3 linked regions of the Schizosaccharomyces pombe genome follow. The protein of the gene in region 3 binds, or shares a complex with, the protein of the main gene of each other region. Each region holds a gene or a part of one and is shown on either strand. Other genes may lie near its edges. The genes, in order: nup85, gle1 and nsp1.

What was found.
Region 1: nsp1 (region 3) and nup85 share a complex: the UniProt entries of both Schizosaccharomyces pombe proteins name them as parts of the nuclear pore complex.
Region 2: nsp1 (region 3) and gle1 share a complex: the UniProt entries of both Schizosaccharomyces pombe proteins name them as parts of the nuclear pore complex.

What each region holds. Positions count from the first base shown.
Region 1 is NC_003423.3:2,173,156-2,182,038, reverse strand, and holds nup85 (nucleoporin Nup85), read left to right. Parts: upstream 1-5,608; 5' UTR 5,609-5,910; coding exon 5,911-7,938; 3' UTR 7,939-8,383; downstream 8,384-8,883. Other genes in the region: centaurin Cnt5, read left to right, coding at 1-294; rps2402 (40S ribosomal protein eS24), read right to left, coding at 623-958, 1,040-1,108; sib3 (siderophore-iron biosynthesis protein), read left to right, coding at 1,547-2,551; RRM-containing cyclophilin Rct1, read right to left, coding at 2,707-4,005; lysine--tRNA (Lys) ligase Krs1, read left to right, coding at 8,407-8,883. UniProt on the Schizosaccharomyces pombe protein: Functions as a component of the nuclear pore complex (NPC).
Region 2 is NC_003423.3:245,254-253,219, forward strand, and holds gle1 (nucleoporin Gle1), read left to right. Parts: upstream 1-1,975; 5' UTR 1,976-2,007; coding exon 2,008-2,145; exon of another isoform or gene 2,146-2,195; coding exon 2,196-3,500; 3' UTR 3,501-3,724; downstream 3,725-7,966. Other genes in the region: SNARE Pep12, read left to right, coding at 465-1,044, 1,175-1,386; GTP-binding protein Bms1, read left to right, coding at 3,834-3,935, 3,983-7,246; cell cycle transcriptional repressor Whi5, read left to right, coding at 7,895-7,966. UniProt on the Schizosaccharomyces pombe protein: Functions as a component of the nuclear pore complex (NPC).
Region 3 is NC_003424.3:3,363,230-3,371,523, reverse strand, and holds nsp1 (nucleoporin Nsp1), read left to right. Parts: upstream 1-1,971; 5' UTR 1,972-2,004; coding exon 2,005-2,008; intron 2,009-2,074; coding exon 2,075-3,867; 3' UTR 3,868-4,052; downstream 4,053-8,294. Other genes in the region: rmt2 (N-methyltransferase), read left to right, coding at 1-115; dsk2 (UBA domain protein Dph1/Dsk2), read right to left, coding at 717-1,781; mitofissin Atg44, read left to right, coding at 4,468-4,470, 4,504-4,592, 4,652-4,781; Tf2-4 (retrotransposable element/transposon Tf2-type), read left to right, coding at 5,976-8,294. UniProt on the Schizosaccharomyces pombe protein: Functions as a component of the nuclear pore complex (NPC).

The sequences.
Region 1 (8,883 bases), on a different chromosome or scaffold from region 3:
GTAAAGGACAAGTATTTGTATAAACGATTTATTAAATCGTCATTTTCACACGATCCTAACACAGGCCTTTTGGAGTCTATTGAGCATAGTAATCTGAAAGAAGCTGTCCTATGTTTAGCACTGGGAGCAGACGTTAATTATCAAAGGGCTGTTGTAAAGGCTTTATTGAAGAACAACTATTTAATTGCTGAACTATTGACGTTGAACGGTGCCAGTTTGAATGTTGACGAAGTTACTATGGAGACGCTTTCAGCGCGGGCGCAAGCGTTTGTGATGAATAGAGCAACTCCTTGAAGGACAACTTGTAAATTTGAAAGAGGAAATAATGGTTTTTTAATTCGTGTGTATATTGGAAAGCTGAGTGAATTTGTTGAATATGCTGGTATGTTTGCATAGATGTTACATAGGTATATATATAAGCATGAAAAGCACACAGAATAAATTTTAAGATATTTCGAACGTATTTGTAGCGTTATGTGAATTGTACATATACTCAATGCATAATAATAAAAAATCTCAGTTACAAGGTACGGAAACAACAAAATTTACAATAATAGTTTTACGCGAGGGACAGAATGTATTGAGTTTTTGGCGAGAAAGGAACCTAAAGTAAGTATCTACTCTAGTCTTGTTGCTTAGATTTTCTCTTGGCAAGACGCTTGCCTGTACCAAAGACCTTCTTGCCTCTGTTCTTACGTTGCTTGCGTTGCTGACGAGCAACCTTTTGGATAGGCTCAGCTTGACCAACACGAACAAGACGGTAGTGAGGCTCAAACTTCTTCATGGACTCAGTAGAGTCATAGATCAAAGCGAAGCCGGTAGATCTGCCACCACCAAAATGAGTGCGAAGACCAAAGGCTTGAACGCATTCGGAATCAGTCTTGTACATTTGAGCCAACTTCTCACGAATTTCATTCTTGGAAAGGTTAGCCTTGCCAGGGTGAAGAATGTCGACGACCTATAAATTTCCGTTAGCTGATGTTGAATTAAAAATAGACCAAAAGGTCAAATAGCGGGAAGCTTCATCAAATAAACATACCATCTGCTTTCTTTGAAGCAAGCGGTTAGTCATAAACTTGCGAGTTCTAATTGTCACGGCCTCACTCATTTTAGAAATTTTGGTGACTGATGGTGGTAAGGAAAGGCTCTCACAAGGGATAGCCATTTGTTTGATGTTGTTTGTGACTGCTTTTTGGACTTTTTGTAATTTAATGAATTTCTTAAACAATACCTAAATGTGGTTTAAAGTTTTTTATTACTAAATCGTTATCACGTTTACAGATTCTTAGCACTAGGCTCTTGACATCACTGTTTATGTGCTACTGTGCACCAGCCATCTTGTAAATAACGTACATTGCTCACCGTATGTAAACAATTAAAACTAATTCCTATTTGTTTTAATATTGCTCGAGGATTCCAAATTGTACAAATTAGCGTCGCTGCTTCTATCTTTTGTTTAAGATTTCACCTGTAATTAGATAGTTGACGGCAATATCTATAACAATATATCTTAACTCTAAGTAAAATTCGAGAAATTTCATTCGGGATGTCCTTTACTGTTTGGTCTAAGACCGAGCCTTTCAAGCTTTCAGCTGTCCAAGAGAGTTTGATAACTTTAGAACATGACAATAAGAGATTGCTTTTAACGTATCGTGAAGAGTCCAAAACATGGGATATTGATTTAAATGGATTCCAAGACATGGACGTTAATGAAATTTTGCAGTTGGCGTTTCTTTCTATTTTCTACGTATTCCCTACTTTGAGAACAGAAGTCGTTCTACAGTGGGCAAACATTGAAAGTCAAAAAGGAACTTTGAGCCTTCCTGTTGAATACAATGAGTTAGAAGGTAATGTCTCGATTGACCGTATGTCTTTTTGGCAAATCCCGTCTCCTTGGATGTACACAAGATGCAGTGATTGGCCTTTATCTTACTTACCGAACCAAGTCATTCGTCGTCCCAAATGTCCAAAACCTGGTTCCACTCTGTATGAGCGATTTATACCTAGCTTGAATGAGACACTTTCCTTCGTATCTCTTGACATTGAGCAACATCTGCAGTATTTCCATGAGTGGCAGAACAAACCGAGAGTTGAATACTTTTGGAACGAGTCTGGTTCATGGGATCAACATCATGAATACCTAACAACACTTCAAAACGATCCTCATTCTTTTGGTGTCATTGGCTGTTTCAATGATGTGCCTTTTGCTTATTTTGAAGTTTATTGGGTTCCTGAGGATAGAATTGCTCCATTTGCTCAGCCTTGGCATACACATGATCGTGGTTTCCATGCCCTTGTAGGTAATGACAAATTTCGCGGGCCTCACCGTGTCCCCGTGTGGTTATCCAGTATTACGCATATGTTATTTTTGGATGATCCTCGTACTCAGCGTGTACTTCTTGAACCAAGAATTGACAATTCAAAATTTATTAACTATTTGATCGAAGAAAATTACTCCAAACGTTTGGAATTTAATTTCCCTCATAAACGTGCCGCATTTATGGAGATTACTCGTAACATGTTCTTTTCATGCTTAGGCCCTCGAATTTAGTACGACGATTTTTTTTGATTTTTTGCTTTTACAAGTATAAGCAATGTAGATTTCATTCCATACATTTGAAGTCTTAATCAATTATTCAACTATGTTTTAGTAATTTCATCAGTCATAAATAATATTCACAAGAAAGGTACGAATATAATAAAGATCTATCGATATCTATCATCTCTATAACGTCTATCATATCTATACCTTCGTTCAGGAGATTTATCTCGTAAGTGATCATCACAATTTTTATTTCCAGTATTTCTCCGTTTATGGTATGAACGATCATCACCGTAGTAGTTAGAAAATCTTTCATTTCTAAATGAACTTTGATCGTCACGATGATCACGCTCTTTCCGTCGATGCCTATAGTCGTCTCGGTAATTAGATCTGTCATAACGACCATCAGACCTACGGTGGTACTCACGATCATCACTACGAGACGAAGAACGTTTTCGGTCCCTATTGGAGTTGTAATATTGTCTGTAACGAGCCACGCTTTGGGAAAAATCTACGTGAATTCGAGAATCATCAATTAAAACATTTTGCATTTTAAAATAAGCTTTTTCAACACTTTCTTTGTTATCAAATTCGATAAAGGCATATTGAAGACTATCGCCTGTTTCTTTATCTCGAATAACTTGGCAGGAGATAATTTTTCCAAATCGCGAGAATATTAACTCTAAATCTTCATCTTGGGTAACGGGATTTAATTTGCAAACGAACAAAACGTTTTCGGGAGGAGCAACATGAGCAAAGGGTAAATCACCAATCATTTCTAGTGTAACAGCCTCTGCTTCTGCCTCCATTTCCTTCTCTCTTTGCAATTTATCTTCCGATGTTTCTGACTCAATTTGTTCGTTTTCCCCTATACGTACCGTAGCTAATTGTTCAGGCGTTGGAGACGGTGACCGCAAAGGCTCCACTAGATCGGGTGGATCCTCAAACGGGTCATCTAGTATAATTGTGTGTTTTATACGAATATCACGATAAGGCTGACCCTCTTCATCGCATATAGCGTCATTGATTTTCAGTAGCGTGTCAAAGCCTTCAGCAACCTGTCCATAAATTGGGTATCTTTCATCAAGTCCTTCTAAATTGTCTGACAAAGTTATTATAAACTGACTACCACAAACAAGTAATTTGTCATCTCTAGAAGATATAGTTGCTGTGCTCATACTAACCAAGCCCATTTTATTATGTACCAAAGAAGGATTAAATTCCGCTTTGAAAAAGCGTGTTCCTTTATTCAGTACATTCCACACACATCGACCACCATCTCCAGTTGGTCCAAGAGGATCACCTGTTTGACAGGTATAATTGTGCTGAATGTTATAAAATGGACAAAAATTATAGTATTTTAATTTGCATAATTTAAGAAAATTCTCACAAGTTTTGGGCGCTTCCTTGACGAATAAATCGATAACCAAATCACCAACTGTAGTTTCAATTAGTACAGACATGGCTTTTTAAAGATACTTGAATGGTATTCTTGGATGGTATGATGTAAGAATGTTTCAAAAAAACGATTGTATACATGCAAGAAGGCTTTATTCTCAGATATCCACAAATTACCAAAAAAATAAACCAAAGCTCTCAAGCGTAATATTCCAATTCAAAAAATATATACAAAAATTCAGCAAGTTATAACAGAAAATATAAATTAAACCAAAGCAATAACAAAAGGGTAAAATCAGTCGAACATACTGTTTATGTTGGTGTTTGGAAAGTTTTTTCTGTTTAACTCGTTAAAATCATTTGCAGTGATTCGTTAAATACGTAAACAAACTAGGCAAAAACGCAATGTGATACATTCGTTTGTAACACAATTAAGTAAATTTTTTATATTATATTCACTTATTAAAGCCTTAGAACATCTAGGTAGACAATCTAAAGTGATCATACTTTGTTTTGTTCCAAAGGTTTTAATTTGGTAAGGAGTAATTTAATTTTTTATTTTAGCGATCGTCACGCACAGTTTGCTCCTTCCTGCTGTCTTTTGAGCTAGGTCTTTCTTTCCTTTAGTGTTCCTTGAGTACATTTAACAACAAAGGTAATTCCCGCAAAGGAAAAATAATACACGACCATTCTTAATTTGTTTGTTATAGATACTTTATTGACTTTGAACGCATATTATCGATGATAATAAATCGACACTAATTCTGTTTAATATAATATTAATTAATTTGTACTTTGATGGCATATATCTTGACAAAAAAGCGGTATGCAAAGATTCAATTATGACTGTTTAGTTCTATTTTTTCAGAATCCCTTCAATAATGATATATATAGCATCAAACTCTGTAAGTTACCCTTGCATTTACAAATATTGCTATTAAACATAAATTGCTTAATTGCCAACAGTTCTCAATGAAACTTATTTTTAATGTATAACGTATTTTCATACTAGATTGCAAGTACTTTTCTTCGTTAGCAGCACAGCCTAAATTCTGTATTTTAACTGGAAGATACGAAATTCAATTGCGGACTTTTACGGCGTATAAACCGTTCATAATCCGAAAAACAAGTATGGCTATAATTAAGTTGCTAAAGTTAAATGATCATTGTCTAAGTGTGGACATGGTTGCAATGAATTTTAAAATCATTTAAGTAAACAGTTCTTCATTATAGAAATACTTTTTGATTATCAACTGTCCTTCCAACAGACAGGTAATGTTCTTTAAAAGAGTCAGTTGCAAGGTTCGAAACGTTAATTACGTGTGTAGTTAGTCCATCGAAGATTTATCGAATATGTAAGCATGAATCTTGGTTAATTCACTGGTAAAATAAGTGATAACAAATTTATATAGAAACGAAATTTATTACAATTTATAATTTAAATTAATTTGCAAACATGATCAATTTTTTTATGCCTCCATGAAATACGATCATGCATCGAATTTTGACGAAGATAAAAGCAACGGCATATTCGTTTCTAATTTTTATTTTAATTCCTTTAATTCTAATAACATTAAAGAAAGTCAGGAAGACTGCTATTTTTTGTTGCGACGATCTGAGTTCAAACTTCATATTGTAGCCTGGCTCCAATTCGATCAACCTTACTTTACGATTAAAGCATCTTTAAAGGAGTGTCTGCTCTTCCTTAGATAATTAGTATTATTCGTTGTCAAAAAAAACCAACAAGAATCAAGTGAGATTTAATTTTTATACTAAATTACTCCTGGTCGAGCAAGAGCCATCCTTTTTGACATCTGAAAAACGCCTGCAGGTGGACACATGCAAATTCCTAATACTTACTGATTTTTTTGAGTATCGGAAAGCAGATAAATATATTCTTTTATATTTTGGTTAATCCAAATCTTACAAGGCTTTTTTCTTACTTTCTTCGGAACTACTAACATTCCAATATGGAATCTTCGGATGAAGTGGATCTTCCTGTTTATCATTTACAAAATGCACCTATAGAAAATGGAAAGTTGAATGACTGGCGTTCAAAAGGCCGAACGGTAGCCTTCAAATTGCATCCTTTTTTGAGAAAAGGACTAGCGTACATTAATAACAAAGAATTTGACGAAAATACGTTAAAGTCTGATAAATTTGAAGAAGTAGAATCTCTGGTGTATGAATTTAGTACTCCTTCTACTCTAATTGAACCAAATTACCTTTTGACCGCATGGCATGAATTATGGGAAGAATTACAAGATACCTATATGACTCCTATCTTGGACAGCGAGGCAAATTTGCTTTTGTTAACGCAGTTTTATGGGAAAATAAGCTCGCTCTTCCGCTCTAAAATTATACAAGTTTTAGAGGAGTTGCAGTCGCGTATTAACGAGGGTGAAAAAGATTGTCAGCCTGTTTTGGATTCTTTATGGGAAGTGGAATCAGCTTGGCGCTGTGCTGAAGCTATTTATTTCCCCCCTTCTTCTCCTTATACCTTATCAACAGGAATTTTAGATTGGGTAAATGCCTATGATCCACAGCCTATTGCCGATGATGGACTCGAAATCATGGCTTATCGTATACCTTACCAACATCCTGAATTTTGGCCTTATGTTAATAAAACAGCTATTCGTGGACTTTTTGAACAAACTATATCATGCCTCGAGATGTCCGGTTTAACGAAGGAGTGGCCTGTACTTAAAGAAACAGTTGACGAACTTATTGATATATTACGTTACAGCCCTTGTACGCACCAAAAGAGAATTAGGTCGGTTTCCGATTTTGAAAGACGATGGAAACTGTGGCGATCACGCTTGGCTAACCTCAGACATGTGGTTAAGAAACATCGGGATATTGATTCGGAAGTTTTGGATGATTTTGTTGTTTTGCTTGATATTTTGAATGGAAATAAAGAAGTCATCATGTTAAGTTGCGCACACTGGCAGGAATATTTTTCAGCTTTAGCATTTTTATATGGTCCTTTGGATTGTAAAAATCCTGAAGATATATCTCTATTATATCAACTTGCAACTGGAGAAGACTCAAAGTTTTACGTTAATGGAACGATTGAGTATGAACAAATATGCGTTAATTTATGCAGTAATGAACCTCTTAACGCTATTAAACACGCCTATCTTCTAGATCTTGGACTAGCCGTGCATTTAGCAGACTTATTGAGTAAAAGCGGTCATTTGCGGGATTACATAACCGAGGAATATCCCATTACCTTACGTGAACATCTTATACTGGAATATGGGCAGTGTGTTTTAGAAAGTAGAAATCTTTGGCAAACGTCCTTTGCTTACTGGAAATGTGTTGCTGATTCCGGCTATCAACGAATAAAAGCTTGTATTCCATATGTCCCTCTTTCCGATGTGGATGCCAAGGAAACTGCACTTCAATTATGCAAGCAGCTTAAACTAAGGGACGAAGCTCAATTAGTATTGACTCATTGGGCTGATGAATTAATTGCACGTAATCACTATGGTGAAGCACTAATTGCTTTAGATAATGCTGCGAACTATTCTGCTTTAAATCGCGTTACTTGGGAATTGTTTGATATATGTATTGCAGAAAAGAAGTCATTTAGTCCCGATAAAGATGAACTGTTGTATGAATTGTTTAGCTCTCCTAAAGCCTGTACCCCGACCCTTGCCTCGATAATATCTCCAGCTGCTACAATTCATCAATATTTTTTTTACCTTCAGCACAAAAAAGAGCTCAATGCCTCTGAACTTCTTGTTGGGTTACTAACAATGGTTGATTTCCCTTCAAGTCGATTCCCTAAGTTATTAGAACTACTTCACGAATTTTTGAATAATCCTTTACAGTCTAACTCGACAGATTTTAAGCTTTCTCTTGTTAATGTTTATGATTGTATCGCTGTCTTACAGGATCAACAGTCAACTGTAAAGGACCAGCAGCTTTTACTATCCATTCATGAGCGTCTTTCTTCTGCGATATCATGGTATTTTCTTCACTTAAAAAAATAAAAACGGTTTAATTCTATAGTAGCTATGCTATATATTTTTTCTGCAAATTTTGGCTCACTTGTACATAATTGAGTTATTTACTCAATTGGGGATTTAAATTAGGCTATTTCTGTTACTTGACATTTTAATCTTTCTGTAACATAGAAGCTTCATACATGTTTTTATTAAGATACAATTGTTCATCTTAAAGACCCATTATAATGTCTCGTCTAATACCATAATAGGGAGGATCCAAAATCAGTGAACCCAGCCGATGTTGTAAATCTAAAAAATTTTACACATTTATTACTCACATCTTCAAACGTTTAGCATATATCAACAGAATCATTTTAAAAAAATATTAACTAAATAACGGAATGTGTTATATTACACTATCTTATGTTACGGAACTACCATCTACAAGGGGTAAATATTCTCTTCCTCCACGAAAATTTCTCTGAAACCTGAAAACGGCAATTGTAAGCTAAAATGAGTGAGGAACAGGTGAATGGAGTTACACAGGCTGTAAAGGCTTTAGTCCTTGATCCCGTCACTGGTGAACAAGTCTCAAAGACTGAGTTAAAGAAGCGCGAAAAACAACGTGCTCGTGAATTAGCTAAAGCAAAAAAGCAAGCCGAAAAGGCTGCGTCTGCTCCTGTTGCTGCTCCTAAGAGCTCTTCAAAGAAGGAAGAAGATTTGGACCCTTCCCAGTACTTTGAAAATCGTTCTCGTACTATCATGGAATTACGCCAAACGAAGGATCCTAATCCTTATCCCCACAAGTTCCAGGTCACCATCACCCTCCCTGAATTTATAGCCAAATATGAGGGACTAGCTCGTGGTGAAACTAAGCCTGAAGTTGAAGTTGCAGTTGCCGGCCGTGTTCTTGGGCTTCGTACTGCTGGTAATAAGCTGCGTTTCTATGAAATCCATGCTGATGGGAAAAAGCTTCAAGTTATGTGTCAA
Region 2 (7,966 bases), on a different chromosome or scaffold from region 3:
TTTTTTATTTGAAATTCAAATTATCAATATTTCAATTAATTCCTTTTAATCGAATGTGTCCTATATTAGATTTCAGCCATTTTAGATGTTTACTAAATAGCGACTAATAATAACCTATTGTAAGATTGCCTTCTTTCGCACTATACATAAATAAAGAACTTTAGAGTACTTACGAAAGGCGTTCGCTCCGGTTTGCTGGGTCTTACTAATTCCTATTAGGTATGAGCCTTGCTCATAAGATTTGCATTCTTCTTCCAACTACTAAAACACTTGACAATTGTCAAGGTTTCTACGAACAAAAGAATTGTAACCTTAGCAAGGTGACTAATTATTGCTGAAAAACTTTGAATCTTTGTTTTCAGACTCAATTCAAGCTAATTGGCCAATTTTTTAATTATATTGACTTTCTTAGTACCTTTGCAAATACTGTTGGATTGCTTTGATTCAATTTTTTTGTTGCTATAATGTCTTTTGTTGACTTGGAGCAAGGAAGACATAAGATCGAGCAAAATGGTGACTTTCCAGCCTTAGCGAGCAGTATTGCTCAGGAAATTCATGCTCTACGAGGAAACACAGCAGCAATTCATAGATATTTGGTAAACAACCTTACGAAAAACTTACATGAGGTTTTAGAGCAATCCCGTGAACTATCTCAAAAGGTTCGTTCAGACTTGGTAAGGCTTGCCAACATCAAAGATACAAAATATGGAGAAGAAGCGTCGTCCTTCGCCTTATCAAAGCTTACCCGAGATTTTAATACGGTATTGGCTGAGCTTCAAAGAGTACAACAGAAATGCGCTCAACAAGAGTCTGATTCTGTAGCCGCAGCACAAGCTGCACTTAATCAAGACGTCGGACAACATTTTATTGAAGAGGAAGAGCGTAATGTGTCTCTATCAAATAATTCTTCTGGTCAACGACAGCCGTTGACTGAGTCAAAGATTTCAAATTCCCAACTAGAATATCAGCAAAGGCTTATTAATGAACGACAAGGTGAAATCGAAAATTTGACTCAAGGAATAAATGAACTCAATGAAATCTTTCGTAAGTATCAGCTAGTTGACATTTTTTTTTTTTCTGTTTACGTGATGGAGTTAGGAGTAATGCTAAATACTTGACCTAAAATATTTTCGCTTTTATAAATTTAAAGTTTTACTAACAATTTTCTTTTTAGGCGATCTAAGCACCATTATTAATGAACAGGGTGAACTAGTTACCAACATTGAATACAACGTCGGAAACACATCGACAAACACGAAAAATGCTTCAAGGCAGTTGCAGATTGCCAACGAGCATTCAAGAAAGGCTAGAAAAAGAAGCTTTTGCTTTCTTGTAATTCTAGTTGTTATACTGGGGGTAATATTAACAGCTTTAATAATGGGCTAGAAATCTTTTGCTATGTTTTCCTCATTCAGGTCCCAAAATGCAAATCTTTATAATTTAAATTCGATAAGAAGAAATCTTACAAAACATTTTCGGAATCGTGTGTTAGTATCGTTATACGTGAGTTGCTCTTCACGTGTTTGGTCATTACCGTATGTTCATGCATTCAAGATAGCGTATTCTATTCAATTCCTTGATACAGATTATTTCTTTACTTGATTTATTTTAATGACCTAGAGGAAGTCCTCCAATATCAGTTAATCCATTTTAGCTATAGACGAAGTCAAATCTCTCGCTTTGCCTGCAATTGTTTATATTGCATTCTTACTTATTGTATTTTTTTGCAACTTCATTGGGCTAGTTATACTTTGATTTTTAATTAATGATACTTGTTTATGTTAATATATACTTATGTCTCATAGTTTGGATGATTGCTTGTTCTGTTTTTTTAATTATAATTTAAACCGCCTAATACAATCTAATAACCTAAGACTTTTATAGTTTTGACACTTGTAATGTTAATTAAAGCAAGCATCAAGTTTCGATCAATTTGAGTTTCGCATAGTGAATGTCCATTCCAAATCGTCCTTTTACCAATTTCCTCAATTTCAGGAAATTTCAGTTATGGATACAAAAACAACACCTTTAATCCATGCTAAACTCGATGAAAAAATAATATCTAGTTATAACGATGCTAACGGTCTTGACATTGATGATTTATGGGATATATATAATGAAAAAACACGGCGAATGATTCACATAGTAAGTATTCGATTTTCTATTAATATTATTTTTATTAATAATGTTCTTAGATATCACAAAGGTATAAGCCTAAAAAACAATCTCCATTTCCTGTAATTGCCGATGAAAATGTGCGTATTTTCCCACCGTTGCATAAAACGATAGATTGGGCAAAGAAGAGGAATGTTGAAGAGCAAAATTTAATTGAACAAAGTATAACTGAATCTCAAAGAATTTTTTCAGAGAAACAAAGGTTAGAACAGGAACGATTTAATCGTGAATTGTTGGAAAAAAAGCGTATCGAAGCAGAACGCCAAAGACTGAAAGATGAAGAGGAGAGAAGAAAAAAAGAATTGATGGAAAAGGAAAAAAAAGAAAAAGAAAGAATCAGGCTGATAGAAGAGCAAAAACACAAGGAGAATGAACAAAGGCGATTAAAGCAGGAGCAAATTGACGCTAAAAGGAAAGAAGAAGAAGCTCGGGAAAAGAGAATGAAGGAAACATTTAAAGACGATCCTGAAGAGGACTCAAATATGGCTTGGTCCATCATTCATAAGATTAAGACTGAAGTAGTAGCCCCGATTTCTGAGAAAAAAGAGCTCAAAAACTATTGCTTTACTCAAAAACGGAAAATTACACCACGTTTAGGTCAAATTACTAAAAGCAATTCTCAAATCATGAAGATTACACAGCTACTGCAACAGACATTCCAAGAGGCCAGAAATACGGATCCCTTGGTCTATAAATGGGTTTTGAATTTTTTCTGCAAATCTGTGGTGAAGCAAGCAGAAGCAGAAGTTGCTGTAAACCCAATTAGCGCTTATCCTTTGGCAAAAGTTTGCCTTTTATTACAAACACAAAACGCCGACCTTAAAGATCTTCTTTTTGCTCGCCTACAGAAGAACTGTCCTTGGGTTATACCGTTTTGGTATGATCACGGTACGGAGAATGGTAAAAAGAAAATGGGATTTAAAAAGCTATCTGATGGCCATTGGGAACAAAATACTACATACAACGAGCGACAGTGCGGAATTTTTGCAGTTTACGCTGCTATACTTTCTTTAGACGATAGCTTAGCTCCCGAGAGCTGGAGAACATTTTCTCGATTGCTGAATCTTCCATCCCCTTCACAATTAATGAAATCGGACTTGGAACTAGGGCAAACTCTTTGCTCTATCGTCTCAACGTATCTTGATATTGCTGGTCAATCTCTATTACGAATATATGGAAGACAAGCAAAAAAACTTATTGTTTGTTCTTTTAGTGAAGCTTATCTAGGAGCGAACGGAGGTGGTAGTCAGTATGGTCGTCTTCGAATTGTTGGAGAAGACTGGATGAAGGGTCAAGGAGGGCTCAAATTCTCCTTTGAGCCTTAAATTTTTTTGATGGGTTTTCAACCTATTTACTTTTGATTTATAATATACTTACGGTAGAAATTATAGTCGTTAGGATGTGTACTAGATAATTGTTTCAATTTAATTCAACCATTACGATTTAAATGATCCTGGCTTTGATGTCAGTTTCGCTGATTAATACCATATTTACTTTTGCATTAAATAAAGATAATTTGACTCAAGAAATGCATTTTCGCTACAGACACTGCTATTCAAAATTTGTTATATCATGTTACCTTGATGTGACTTAAAGTGGATTTTTTCACCTACTCAACTTTGAGCCTTTACAAATATCTAGCTTGTTCCATAGTTGTCATGGACGAGAAGAAGGGCCATTATGCAAAACATTCTGGGCCAAAAGCTGAAAAAAAGAAGCTCAAAAAGGTGTCCGATGGTAGTGCTTCAAACAATCCTAAGGTATGTTGAGAACTTTTGTAAATAATCAAATTGGCTAATAAGAATAGGCATTTGCGGTAGCATCTGCAGGGCGCATGGCTAGGCAAGCTATGCGTACGGCGGATATTTCACAAAAGAAGCTTCACGTGCCAATGGTGGATCGCACACCGGATGAAGCTCCGCCACCAGTGATTGTTGCCGTTATGGGGCCTCCTGGCACTGGAAAATCTACTTTGATAAAATCTTTAGTACGTAGATATTCTAAATACACTATTTCTCAGATTACTGGGCCGATTACGGTGGTTGCAGGAAAGAAGAGAAGAATCACGTTTTTGGAGTGTCCTAACGATCTCAGCTCTATGATTGACGTAGCCAAGATTGCAGACCTTGTTCTCCTTTTAATTGACGCGAATTTTGGATTCGAAATGGAAACTATGGAGTTTTTGAACATATTAGCACCGCATGGTATGCCTCGCATCATGGGTGTATTAACACATCTCGATTTATTTAAGAAGACTTCTACATTGCGAGAGGCTAAAAAACGTTTGAAACACAGATTTTGGACTGAACTCTATCAAGGTGCTAAATTGTTCTACTTGTCCGGCGTTTTGAACGGACGATATCCTGATAGGGAAATCCTCAATTTATCTCGATTCATAAGTGTCATGAAATTTAGGCCTTTGCGATGGCGCAACCAACATCCCTATTTACTAGCTGATCGTATGGAAGACCTTACTTTGCCTGTTGACATTGAACAAAATCCGAAAGTTGGGCGGAAAATCACGTTATATGGTTATTTGCATGGCACAAATCTTCCTAAGCACGATGCCTCTGTACATATCCCTGGTGTTGGTGATTTTGTAACGTCTGATGTTTCTTCCCTAGAAGATCCTTGCCCGCCTCCCGATGCCGACAAAGTCCGTCGCCGGCGACTATCAGAAAAACAAAAATTAATCTATGGCCCTATGGCCGATATTGGTGGTATTTTGTTTGACAAAGATAGGGTTTACATTGAGGTACCAACTTCAAATTTTTCTAAAGATGAAAATTCTGAAGCTGGCTTTGGAGAGCGTATGGTTATGCAACTTCAAGAAGCCCAACAGCCTCTGGGAGTCGATGGTAATAGTGGATTACAACTTTTTAGCAATTCAGATGCTATTGATACGGTCGATAGAGAATCAAGTGAAATTGATAATGTTGGCCGTAAAACCCGTCGCCAACCAACTGGACTTATTAATCAAGAACTAATTAAGGAAGATGAAGGGGCATTTGATGATTCTGATGTTAATTCTGCTGATGAAAACGAAGACGTCGACTTTACAGGAAAAATTGGTGCTATAAATAACGAGGATGAAAGTGACAACGAAGAAGTTGCATTTGCTGATAGTGATTCCGATTTAGGAGGTCAATTTGATGATGAAGATTCTAATTTAAGATGGAAAGAAGGACTTGCTTCTAAAGCTGCTTTGGCATACTCTCAATCTGGTAAAAGGAGAAGAAATATTCAAAAAATTTTTTACGATGAATCCCTTTCCCCTAAAGACGCGTATGCTGAATATAAAGGTGAATCTGCAAAATCTAGCGAAAGCGATTTGGTTGTTTCAGACGACGAGGAAGACTTTTTTAAAGTGTCAAAGGTAGCAAATGAATCTATATCTTCGAATCATGAGAAGCTTATGGAATCGGAATCTGACCGTCTCTCGAAAAAATGGGAGAATCCACAGCTGTTAGCACAACTGAAGTCGAGGTTTATAACCGGTAGTCTCCTTGATTCTATAGAGGGACAGGAAGAGGTTTCTCAAGATGATGAAGAAGGTGATTTTGAGGATCTTGAAGATGAAGAAAATTCTAGCGATAATGAAATGGAGGAATCATCAGGCTCTTCTGTAACTGCTGAAAATGAGGAATCTGCTGATGAAGTCGATTTTCAAACAGAACGTGAAGAAAATGCTCGTAAAAAGGAGGAGCTACGTCTTCGTTTTGAAGAGGAAGATCGTGGAGATCCAGAAAAGAAAGACGTTGACTGGTATACGGAAGAAAAGGAAAAAATTGCACGTCAGCTTGTTATAAATCGAGAAGCTTTTGAGGATATGGATCCTGAAAGTCGAGCTGAAATCGAAGGCTATAGAGCAGGCACTTATGTACGTATCGTAATAAACGACGTTCCGTTTGAATTTGTTGAGCACTTTGATTCTCGCTATCCCGTAGTTGTTGGTGGATTACTACCTAATGAGCAACGGTATGGATTAGTTCAAGTTCGTATTAAGCGTCACCGTTGGCACAAAAAAATACTTAAAACGAATGATCCTCTGATTTTTAGTATGGGTTGGAGAAGATTTCAGTCGATACCTGTATATTCAATTAGTGACTCGCGTACTCGAAATAGGATGTTGAAATATACTCCAGAACACATGCATTGTTTCGGTACCTTTTATGGACCCTTCGTCGCTCCCAACAGCGGTTTTTGTGCGGTCCAATCTGTAGCCAATTCGTTCGCAAAGGCGGGTAGCTTCCGAATTGCAGCTACGGGCTCAGTATTGAATATCGATCAATCGACCGATATTGTTAAAAAATTAAAATTGACTGGTGTTCCCTACAAAATATTTAAAAACACAGCATTTATTAAGAAAATGTTTAGTAGTCCTTTAGAAGTTGCAAAATTTGAAGGTGCCAATATCAGGACTGTTTCAGGGATTCGAGGTCAGGTTAAAAAGGCAGTTGATCAGGAACATGGACATTTCCGTGCTACATTTGAAGACAAAATTTTAATGAGTGACATTGTATTTTTGCGGGCATGGTATCCGGTACAAGTGCGAAAATTCTGTACAATGGTCACCAATTTACTTGAGACGGATAAAACGGAATGGAACGGTATGCGGTTAACAGGAGAAGTTCGGCATGAATTGGGATTGAAAACTCCTTTACGACCCAATTCTCAGTACCAGGAGATTGTTCGACCCTCTCGACATTTTAATCCTCTCAAAGTGCCTGCCTCGCTTCAAGCTCAGCTTCCATTTAATTCTCGTCAAAAAGCCTTACGTCCTAGAAGCAAACCGACGTACATGCAAAAACGTACAGTTTTGTTGAATGCAGAAGAACGGAAGGTAAGGGATTTGCTTCAAAAAGTAATGACTTTGCACACGGACAAGGAAGCGAAACGTAAAGCAAAGAAAGCAGCAGAACATGAGCGGTATCATAAAAGGATGCAAAAAGAGGAGCAAGCATATATTGAGAAGAAGCGGGAAGAAAAAGCTGAATGGTTTGCTCAACATGGGAAGAGATTGAGACAGGATGGTAATTCTTCTGGTTCAGGGAAAAGATCAAAAAATTAGATTTTTAAAAATGCGTATTCTTTCTGTTTTATTGAGTTTGTACTGGTGCGTCATAGACGAACTTTTACAACTACATATACATTTTGGGAATTTAATGGGTTTAATATTTTATAAATAAAATGTGTTTATTATTTTCTGTGTACAGTTTGCATTTGAGCTTTGTCTCTCTTGTGAATGATTTGTATCAACTATAAGGTCATGTAACCAAATAATTGGGAGAATATATCTATGTTTCTGAATGCAATTTTTTTGGTCTATTTGCAACTTCTCATCGACGAAAACGGTGTTTACAAAAAGACAAAGGTACCAAGTAAATTGCATATAACCGACATCAGTATATTCATGTAACTTTGGCTGATAATCTTATGTTTTTATTGTTTGTATGGTAGAGTGTTTTGTTACTTGATAATTCTGGTGTTCTGCCTGTTGCTTTTTTCAATCGTTTGTACGGGCAGGCGCGACTTTCGACTTACCAACACATCGTTCAACGCGTCTTGTTTCAATTGAAACAATTATATGCTATACGGAGGATTATTTGATTGCAATTGGATATTATAAAAGGAATTTATCGAAAGGAGAATTCGAATAGGCTAATAACTCGTCATTTTTATATACCTGCATACAGACGAACTCAACAAATATTAATTCATGGCAGGCGGCCACAAGAAAAATGAAGCTACAAGGCAGACTGATGAAGTTATTCAACAAAAATACGATGAA
Region 3 (8,294 bases):
ATGTACATACGAATCCATGCCCGTAAGTAGTAAAGACGAGGAATGGAAAGGCGCAAAGCGTCGATACTGGGATGTTTCAAAGTATTTCTTGCCCATTGTCACTTTTGATTTTTAAACTTGCTGAACTATACGCTTGTCATCGGACGGAACTTTGGAATTTAGTTTTTGGGACTAAGGATAAACTATCTTAATACAATTTTGTCTATATCATTTTATTATTTGAAATTCAACTTTCATAAGCATAATTAAGTTGTAATGTTAAACAGACGTATTTTTCTTTTTTTTTAGTATCTTAAAACTGCTATCGTTTATTGAACATTATAAATCACTGAAGCGTAAGTAAACTGACAATTTAGAAAAAACTTATTTTTACACAACAAGTAAGCTTTCTATCTAGGAGAAGCATATATAGAATTCGTCATCGTACTTAAATTAAACGACTAAACATATTCATTCAAATCGATTAATATGATCATCGCGATAAAACAGAGTACGATGACTTTCCAGGTAAAGTCACTAAAAGTCTTGTTCAGGTAAATCTGGCAAAACTTGCAAGCATGGCATAATAATCTAAATATCACCAAAAGATTGGGCCGTATAAATTTTATTACAAAAGGAAAAAGGGAAGAGGGAAGTCTTGATACAAAGGGTATTATCCTTGAAATATATGAACACCAATAAGCCTGATTGATATATTCTAGAAACGAACAAAGGAATTAAAGATCACTCAACAAAGATTCAATAGCACCTTGCACGTTTCCTCCACTTCTTCTTAGTGCTTGAACGTTACGCTCGAAATCCACAAAGCCCATTTCATTAAGCTGGCTCAATTGCTCAGCATAACGCTCTTCTGGAGGGCGAGTATCTTGAGCAGGAGCTGGAGGAGAGGCAGCTCCCCCAAGGCCAGCTCCCAAACCGGCGTCTCCCAAACCAGCACCGAAGCCAGCTCCTCCCAAGTTATTTAATAAATTTTGAATGGTGTTGGCAGCAGCAGTTTGATCAACAGGTGCGGCACCTGCAATACCAGCTGTAGCATTATTAGCCCCTCCAAATCCACCTAAACCAGCTCCACCTAAACCGCCTAAGCCAGCTCCTCCTAGACCACCCCCCATTAAGGACATAGGGTCAATACCGGCAGCACCCATTTGTTGATGTAGTTGAGCCATTTGGCGCATTGTGTCGGGATCAGTCATCGCGCGACGGAACTCAGGGGACTGCATCATTTGACGGACATAAGGAGGTGCATTACGAAGATGCGGGCTGCTATTAATAATCATATCCAACATTTGAGGATTTGAAAACATCTCATTAATAGAAGACTGCACCATAGGATTAGACAACATATTGGCAAGCTCTTCGGTCGAGGGTGGAACAGGATTCTCAGGATTAGGACCAAACATAGATGCTGATGGCATAGGGATATTAAATCCAGCGTAACGAGCGCTAGTTAAATTGGCAAGAGGATTATTAGCACCCTGACCTGCTTGAATATTCGTTGGAACTTGTTGAGTGCGGTCCGATACATTCGTGGCGGCGGCTGCAGGATTTTGTCCTAAGGTTTTTACCAAATGTATACTATGTCCATCTTGAATTTTGTATGTTTTTAATGACTCTTCATCTTTCAGAACGCGACCAGCGTAAATCAGTCTTTGTCGTTCCTTCTCTATATCAGCTACAGGCGCAATGGCTTCCTTTAATGCAAGTACAGAAGATTCACTATCAACTGTAACTGCGTACTTTTGATCATTTGCCGCCTTAATAGTCAACGATATATTGGTCATGTTGTTGGGTTTGGTTAGGTATTTTCCACTCGTTCGATGACGCTCTTATGTAAAAGAAGTATCTTCGGTGAGCTTCAGTGGACCCTTTCTTCAGGTCCCAAAAACTCCGAATGGTGACCCAGTTCTCCGTTTTGGTTACCGACGTCTCCGAATTCACCGAGTTGTGACCGAACGCCATAAACATTTCACTGTCCTGATACAACTTTCAGCAAGACCCAAATCAATGTGTAAGTGTAAGAGGCGGCAAAGCTGGTCCCTTGGAATTTATTAAAATTTGCTAACAAAATCAATAGCTTTCAACCCAGGTAATAACCAGAATTCAGGGTTTTCATTTGGGAAACCTGCGCAGCCGAATTCAGCTGCGCAAGGAGCAGCAACTCCTGCGGCGACTGGCTTGTTTGGAAACACAAATAATAATACCTCTTCTACAGCGCCGTCTGGAGGCTTATTTGGTTCTAATAACGCGAGTAACACCAGTGCTCCCAGTACCTTTTCTTTTGGTAAAGCAGCGACTACAGGCAACTCAACAAATGCATCAACGAGTTCACCTTTTTCGTTTGGGTCTACTAATACCAACAATACTGCTGGGGCTAAACCTCTTTTCGGAGGTTTAGGAAGTACCGGGTCTGCTAACTCTACTGGTGATAAAAGTAAAAACACCGCTTCTTCTGCTACAGGTGCAGCAACTACTAATCCTTCAGGTAGTACTTTTAATTTTGGAAGTTCAAATAATTCTTTTAATTTCGGTAAACCCGCTTCTACGACTAATACGACGACTCCGGCAGCCGCTAGTACTGGTTCTTTGTTTGGGAAGCCTGCTGCTACAGGGACTACAAGCAATGCCCCTCCAGCTTCTTCTACTTCTACGACACCTGCTACTGGAAGCGGAGGTTTTAGCTTTGGAAAACCTGCTAGTTTAGGCTCTACTAATAATGCATCCACTTCAACCACTGCTAATTCAGGCTTTAGCTTCGGAAAGCCTGCAACTACTTCAGCTCCAGGATCTAACACTACTGTCACCCCCAGTAGCTCCATTACGGGAACCAATGACTCAAAGCCTGCTGCATCTAACACTGGTTCTGCTCCAACTACTGGTTTCTCTTTTGGTAAGCCTGCGGGCCAAGCAGCTTCAACCGCAACGGACAAAGGTACTACCACCACATCTTCAGCTGGTACTGGATTTAGTTTTGGAAAACCTGCAACTACAGAGGATACTAATAAACCTACTGCTCCCAACTCAGCTTTTACAAAACCGGCTACTTCAACTGGTGATAATAAGCCAACATTTTCTTTTGGAAACACTTCAAAACCTACGGAAAATACTAGCACAACAGCAACTTCAGCTCCGCCACTTTCGAACAATACGAAACCTGCAGAAGGTGCGAATCAGACTAGCTCTGGATTTTCATTTGGTAAACCTGCAACTGATACTACAACATCTACTTCAAAAACCGGTCCCCTTTTTGGTAATAAACCTGCCGATCCCAGCGCCAAGCCGGGCGCTACTGCCTCCACTACTCCTTCTGAGCCTCCTCCATCTTCTATCAAACACAAAACTCTTCAGGAAATCCTTAATAAATGGTCTACTGATTTGACTACGCAAACTGAAGTTTTTAATAAGCTTTGTGACCAGGTTTCTGACTGGGATAGAACTTTAGTAGACAATGGTGCTTTAATATCGAAATTATACACTGAAACTGTTGAAGCAGAACAGATGTCAAACCGCATTGATGACGGATTGGAATATGTATCTTCCAGCCAGCAAGAGCTATTTAAATTGCTGGATTCTTATGAAACTCAGTTGGAGACCTTTGATGGTCGTGCAACTTCAGCACTTAACGTCGAACGTGAGCGCGCTTTTGGTGTTGCTGATGATATTTTGAGTAGATTGGATCGATTGGGTGAAGACCTTGGTACTGTCATAAACCAAATGAATGATTTTTCTAAACCCGATGATTCAATTTCCGAAATTGTGAAGGTTTTGAATGCACAGTTGGCAAGTCTCGGATGGGTTGAAAATAGAATATTTCAAATGGAAGAAAAGTTGGATACAATAAAAAAAAAGAATTCTGACGTTTTGTTCTAATCATAATATTTAAGGAAATGGAAAACTATTAAAACTACCTAGCCCTTATTAATGATTTCCCCTCGGTCTATTCCCTGGTGCTGTTAAATCTAATAGATTGTGGTTTTCTTTTATCAATACTAAGGAACATCACATTATTGCTTGTACGTAAATGAAAATAATAAAATGGCATTTTCTTCATAAAATGGGTGTGTCAGTCTTGTAATTTATCGTGCAGTTTACCATACTTAACCCCAAGAATTTCATTTCACACTTATGAGACAGACCTAGATACTTTTCTCTTTTTCTTTACATAAGCCTTTATAAATTGCTAACTAAATTTTTAAACTAGCTGAACACAAAGGTTTTGATCTGTGAATGATTTTGACAATTTATGTAGTATTAATTAGCCCAATCATTAATTCCCCAGTTTTATGAATTTAACATCAATTATAATATTTTTATGTTATAAGGAAGATGAGAGGTATTCTATGGTATTTTTTTACCGACCTCTCAGTCTTATAAACTGACGCTAGACTAAACACTTACCTCAACCACACCCAAATACCTCTCCTCTCTGACGTTCTCATAGTGCCTTTAAAAAGATCTATTTAATCGATAATGGTATGTTTTAGCATCAAATAATACTAATAGTAGCCTTTTCTTTCCCGACTATTTCATTACGGTGTCGACTTAGCACTAGTCTCTACTTGTGTGGCCGGCATCCGTCGATCATCTGGTATTTCGTAAGTAGCATTCTCTAATTACATTTGTCGATATAGTTTTTAACAACATGTAATGGTAGTTTTGAGGTCGAGAAAATTCATAACGAAGACGTTAAGACAGCTGTCGAAAAGTATCTAAACTTTGGTGAATGGGCCTTTGATCAATCTTCTGCCTTCTTAGGTTCTTCAACATGGTTCAAAAAGGTATAAAGACATTGAATCTACATTTGAATATGCCTCTACCACTCCCTACGATGCCTTTATAATGTTTACTTTTTTCTTACTGTTTCCGCATTCCTTTTCAACTTGAAGTCAACAACTCAAGCAATTCATTTCATGCGTAATGCTATTTTTTTAGTTTAACTAGTTGGTTCTTTCGAGTCAAAGATTCAATTTTGAATTTCGTGTAGTAGTTTCTTTTTTACAGCGTGCGATTTTAGCTCCTTGTCTTCAATACCAAATCAACTTCCCTTTTATTTTTGGAATACGGTTTATAGTAAATCTGCTATACAGAGCGCTGTAATTTTGTAGTACAAAATTACAGAGTCCAAATTATCTCTGTTGAAGTCGTTTTTATTAAAAAAATGGCGTATACTTCCACAACAAAATTTTTAAAACTGCCGCTAAATAACAACTTAATATCTTTTGCGCATCTTTCATGGGTAGTTTAAGAGCTTTTTCTTTACTATGACTTTTGGTAGATTCAAGTTACGTTTGCTAAGTCATATTTCAAAAGTGGCAAAGTTGCAAAATCTTGTGTAAAAAATTGAGTAAAAGACATTGATCCAGCTTCGAGAACACTCATTTATTCGCTTTTTCTGACAGCTCATATTTTACATATAACTTTTAAATAGCATATTCATCTACGCATTTCGTAAAAGTTATCTTAATGTCAGCAATACTACACTACGCTATAATACACTACGTTGAGTATCACTATATGTCACATGTTCTAATTATATATCGTACCATGTATGATACGATATGGAGATTGATCTTAATGATAATCTATTAAGATCAATATTATCTGAATACTATAAATAGAGCTACTGCTGAACCTCGTTCCTCAGTTCAGTTATGAGCTATATTAGTGATAGGTAACATTATAACCCAGTTAATACAATACCTATACTCAGTTGCTACTTATACAACCTGTGTATTGTAATATAATAGATCACAAGGAAAACTCACCGCAGTTCTACGTATCCTTAAATCAGATACCAAACTGCGTAGCTTACAATAACTGAACTCTTGTGATCTACAATTAACTCCTTTAGGAAAAAGGAATTATTGAATAAATATATATCATAAATATATATATTTCTCTCCTTCTGGGTTCAAAGGAGAAAGAACTTTGGAAGGACTGTTATCCCTTTTGAAATCTCCCAAAGGGAAACATATACAATGTCCTACGCAAATTATCGTTATATGAAAGCAAGAGCAAAACGATGGAGACCAGAGAATTTGGATGGAATTCAAACATCAGACGAACATTTAATAAACCTTTTTGCAAAAATATTATCGAAGCATGTACCAGAGATAGGGAAATTCGATCCTAATAAGGATGTTGAAAGTTACATTTCAAAACTTGATCAACACTTTACTGAATACCCTTCATTATTCCCAAATGAGCATACTAAAAGACAGTATACATTGAATCACCTAGAAGAATTAGAGCAACAATTCGCTGAACGCATGTTTTCTGAGAATGGAAGTCTTACATGGCAAGAATTACTCAGACAAACAGGGAAAGTACAAGGATCCAACAAAGGTGATCGTTTAACTAAAACATTTGAAGGTTTTAGAAATCAATTGGACAAAGTTCAATTTATAAGGAAACTCATGTCAAAAGCAAATGTTGATGATTTCCATACTCGCTTGTTTATATTATGGATGCTGCCATATTCCTTAAGGAAATTAAAGGAAAGAAATTACTGGAAATCAGAAATCAGTGAAATTTATGACTTTTTAGAGGACAAAAGAACAGCCTCGTATGGTAAAACTCACAAGCGTTTTCAACTGCAAAATAAAAATCTAGGAAAAGAGTCCCTTTCAAAGAAAAATAACACCACTAATAGCAGAAACCTGAGGAAGACAAATGTTTCGAGAATAGAATACTCATCTAACAAATTCCTAAATCATACTAGGAAACGTTACGAAATGGTATTACAAGCTGAACTTCCAGACTTCAAGTGCTCAATACCCTGTCTAATCGATACGGGCGCTCAAGCAAATATTATAACAGAAGAAACTGTTCGAGCACATAAACTGCCTACCAGACCCTGGTCAAAAAGTGTGATATATGGTGGAGTTTATCCAAATAAGATTAATCGCAAAACAATAAAACTTAACATAAGTCTAAATGGAATATCAATCAAAACAGAATTCTTGGTTGTAAAGAAATTTTCGCATCCAGCTGCTATCTCCTTCACAACATTATATGACAATAACATTGAAATATCTAGCAGTAAACACACGCTCTCTCAAATGAACAAAGTTTCAAATATTGTCAAGGAACCTGAGTTACCAGATATCTATAAAGAATTCAAAGACATTACTGCAGAAACCAATACGGAAAAGCTACCAAAGCCAATAAAAGGGTTAGAATTTGAAGTTGAACTAACTCAAGAAAACTACAGATTACCTATCAGAAATTACCCGCTACCACCGGGAAAAATGCAAGCTATGAATGATGAAATTAATCAAGGATTAAAAAGTGGAATTATACGAGAATCTAAAGCCATTAACGCCTGTCCAGTAATGTTCGTTCCGAAAAAGGAAGGCACCTTGAGAATGGTGGTTGACTACAAACCTTTAAATAAGTATGTCAAACCCAATATATATCCGTTACCACTTATTGAACAATTACTTGCTAAAATACAAGGTTCTACAATTTTTACTAAACTTGACCTCAAAAGTGCCTATCACTTGATACGAGTAAGAAAAGGAGATGAACATAAACTTGCTTTTCGCTGTCCTCGTGGAGTTTTTGAATATCTAGTAATGCCTTATGGCATATCTACAGCTCCAGCACATTTTCAATACTTTATCAATACAATACTTGGTGAAGCCAAAGAATCACATGTAGTATGTTATATGGATGATATTTTAATTCATTCAAAATCGGAATCTGAACATGTAAAACATGTTAAAGACGTTCTACAGAAATTGAAAAATGCGAACTTAATTATCAATCAAGCAAAATGTGAATTTCACCAATCACAAGTAAAATTTATAGGGTATCACATTTCGGAAAAAGGATTTACGCCTTGTCAAGAAAATATAGACAAAGTCTTACAATGGAAGCAACCTAAGAATCGTAAAGAATTACGACAATTTCTAGGTTCTGTCAATTATCTTAGGAAATTCATTCCAAAGACATCACAATTAACACATCCACTCAATAATCTTTTGAAAAAGGATGTACGCTGGAAATGGACACCAACACAAACCCAAGCGATAGAAAACATTAAACAATGTTTAGTTTCTCCTCCGGTGCTACGACACTTTGATTTCAGTAAAAAGATTCTACTGGAAACTGATGCTTCAGATGTCGCTGTAGGAGCCGTATTGTCTCAAAAACATGATGATGATAAATACTATCCTGTTGGATACTATTCAGCAAAGATGTCTAAAGCACAATTAAATTATAGCGTATCGGACAAAGAAATGCTTGCAATCATTAAGTCTCTCAAACATTGGAGACACTATTTAGAATCCACT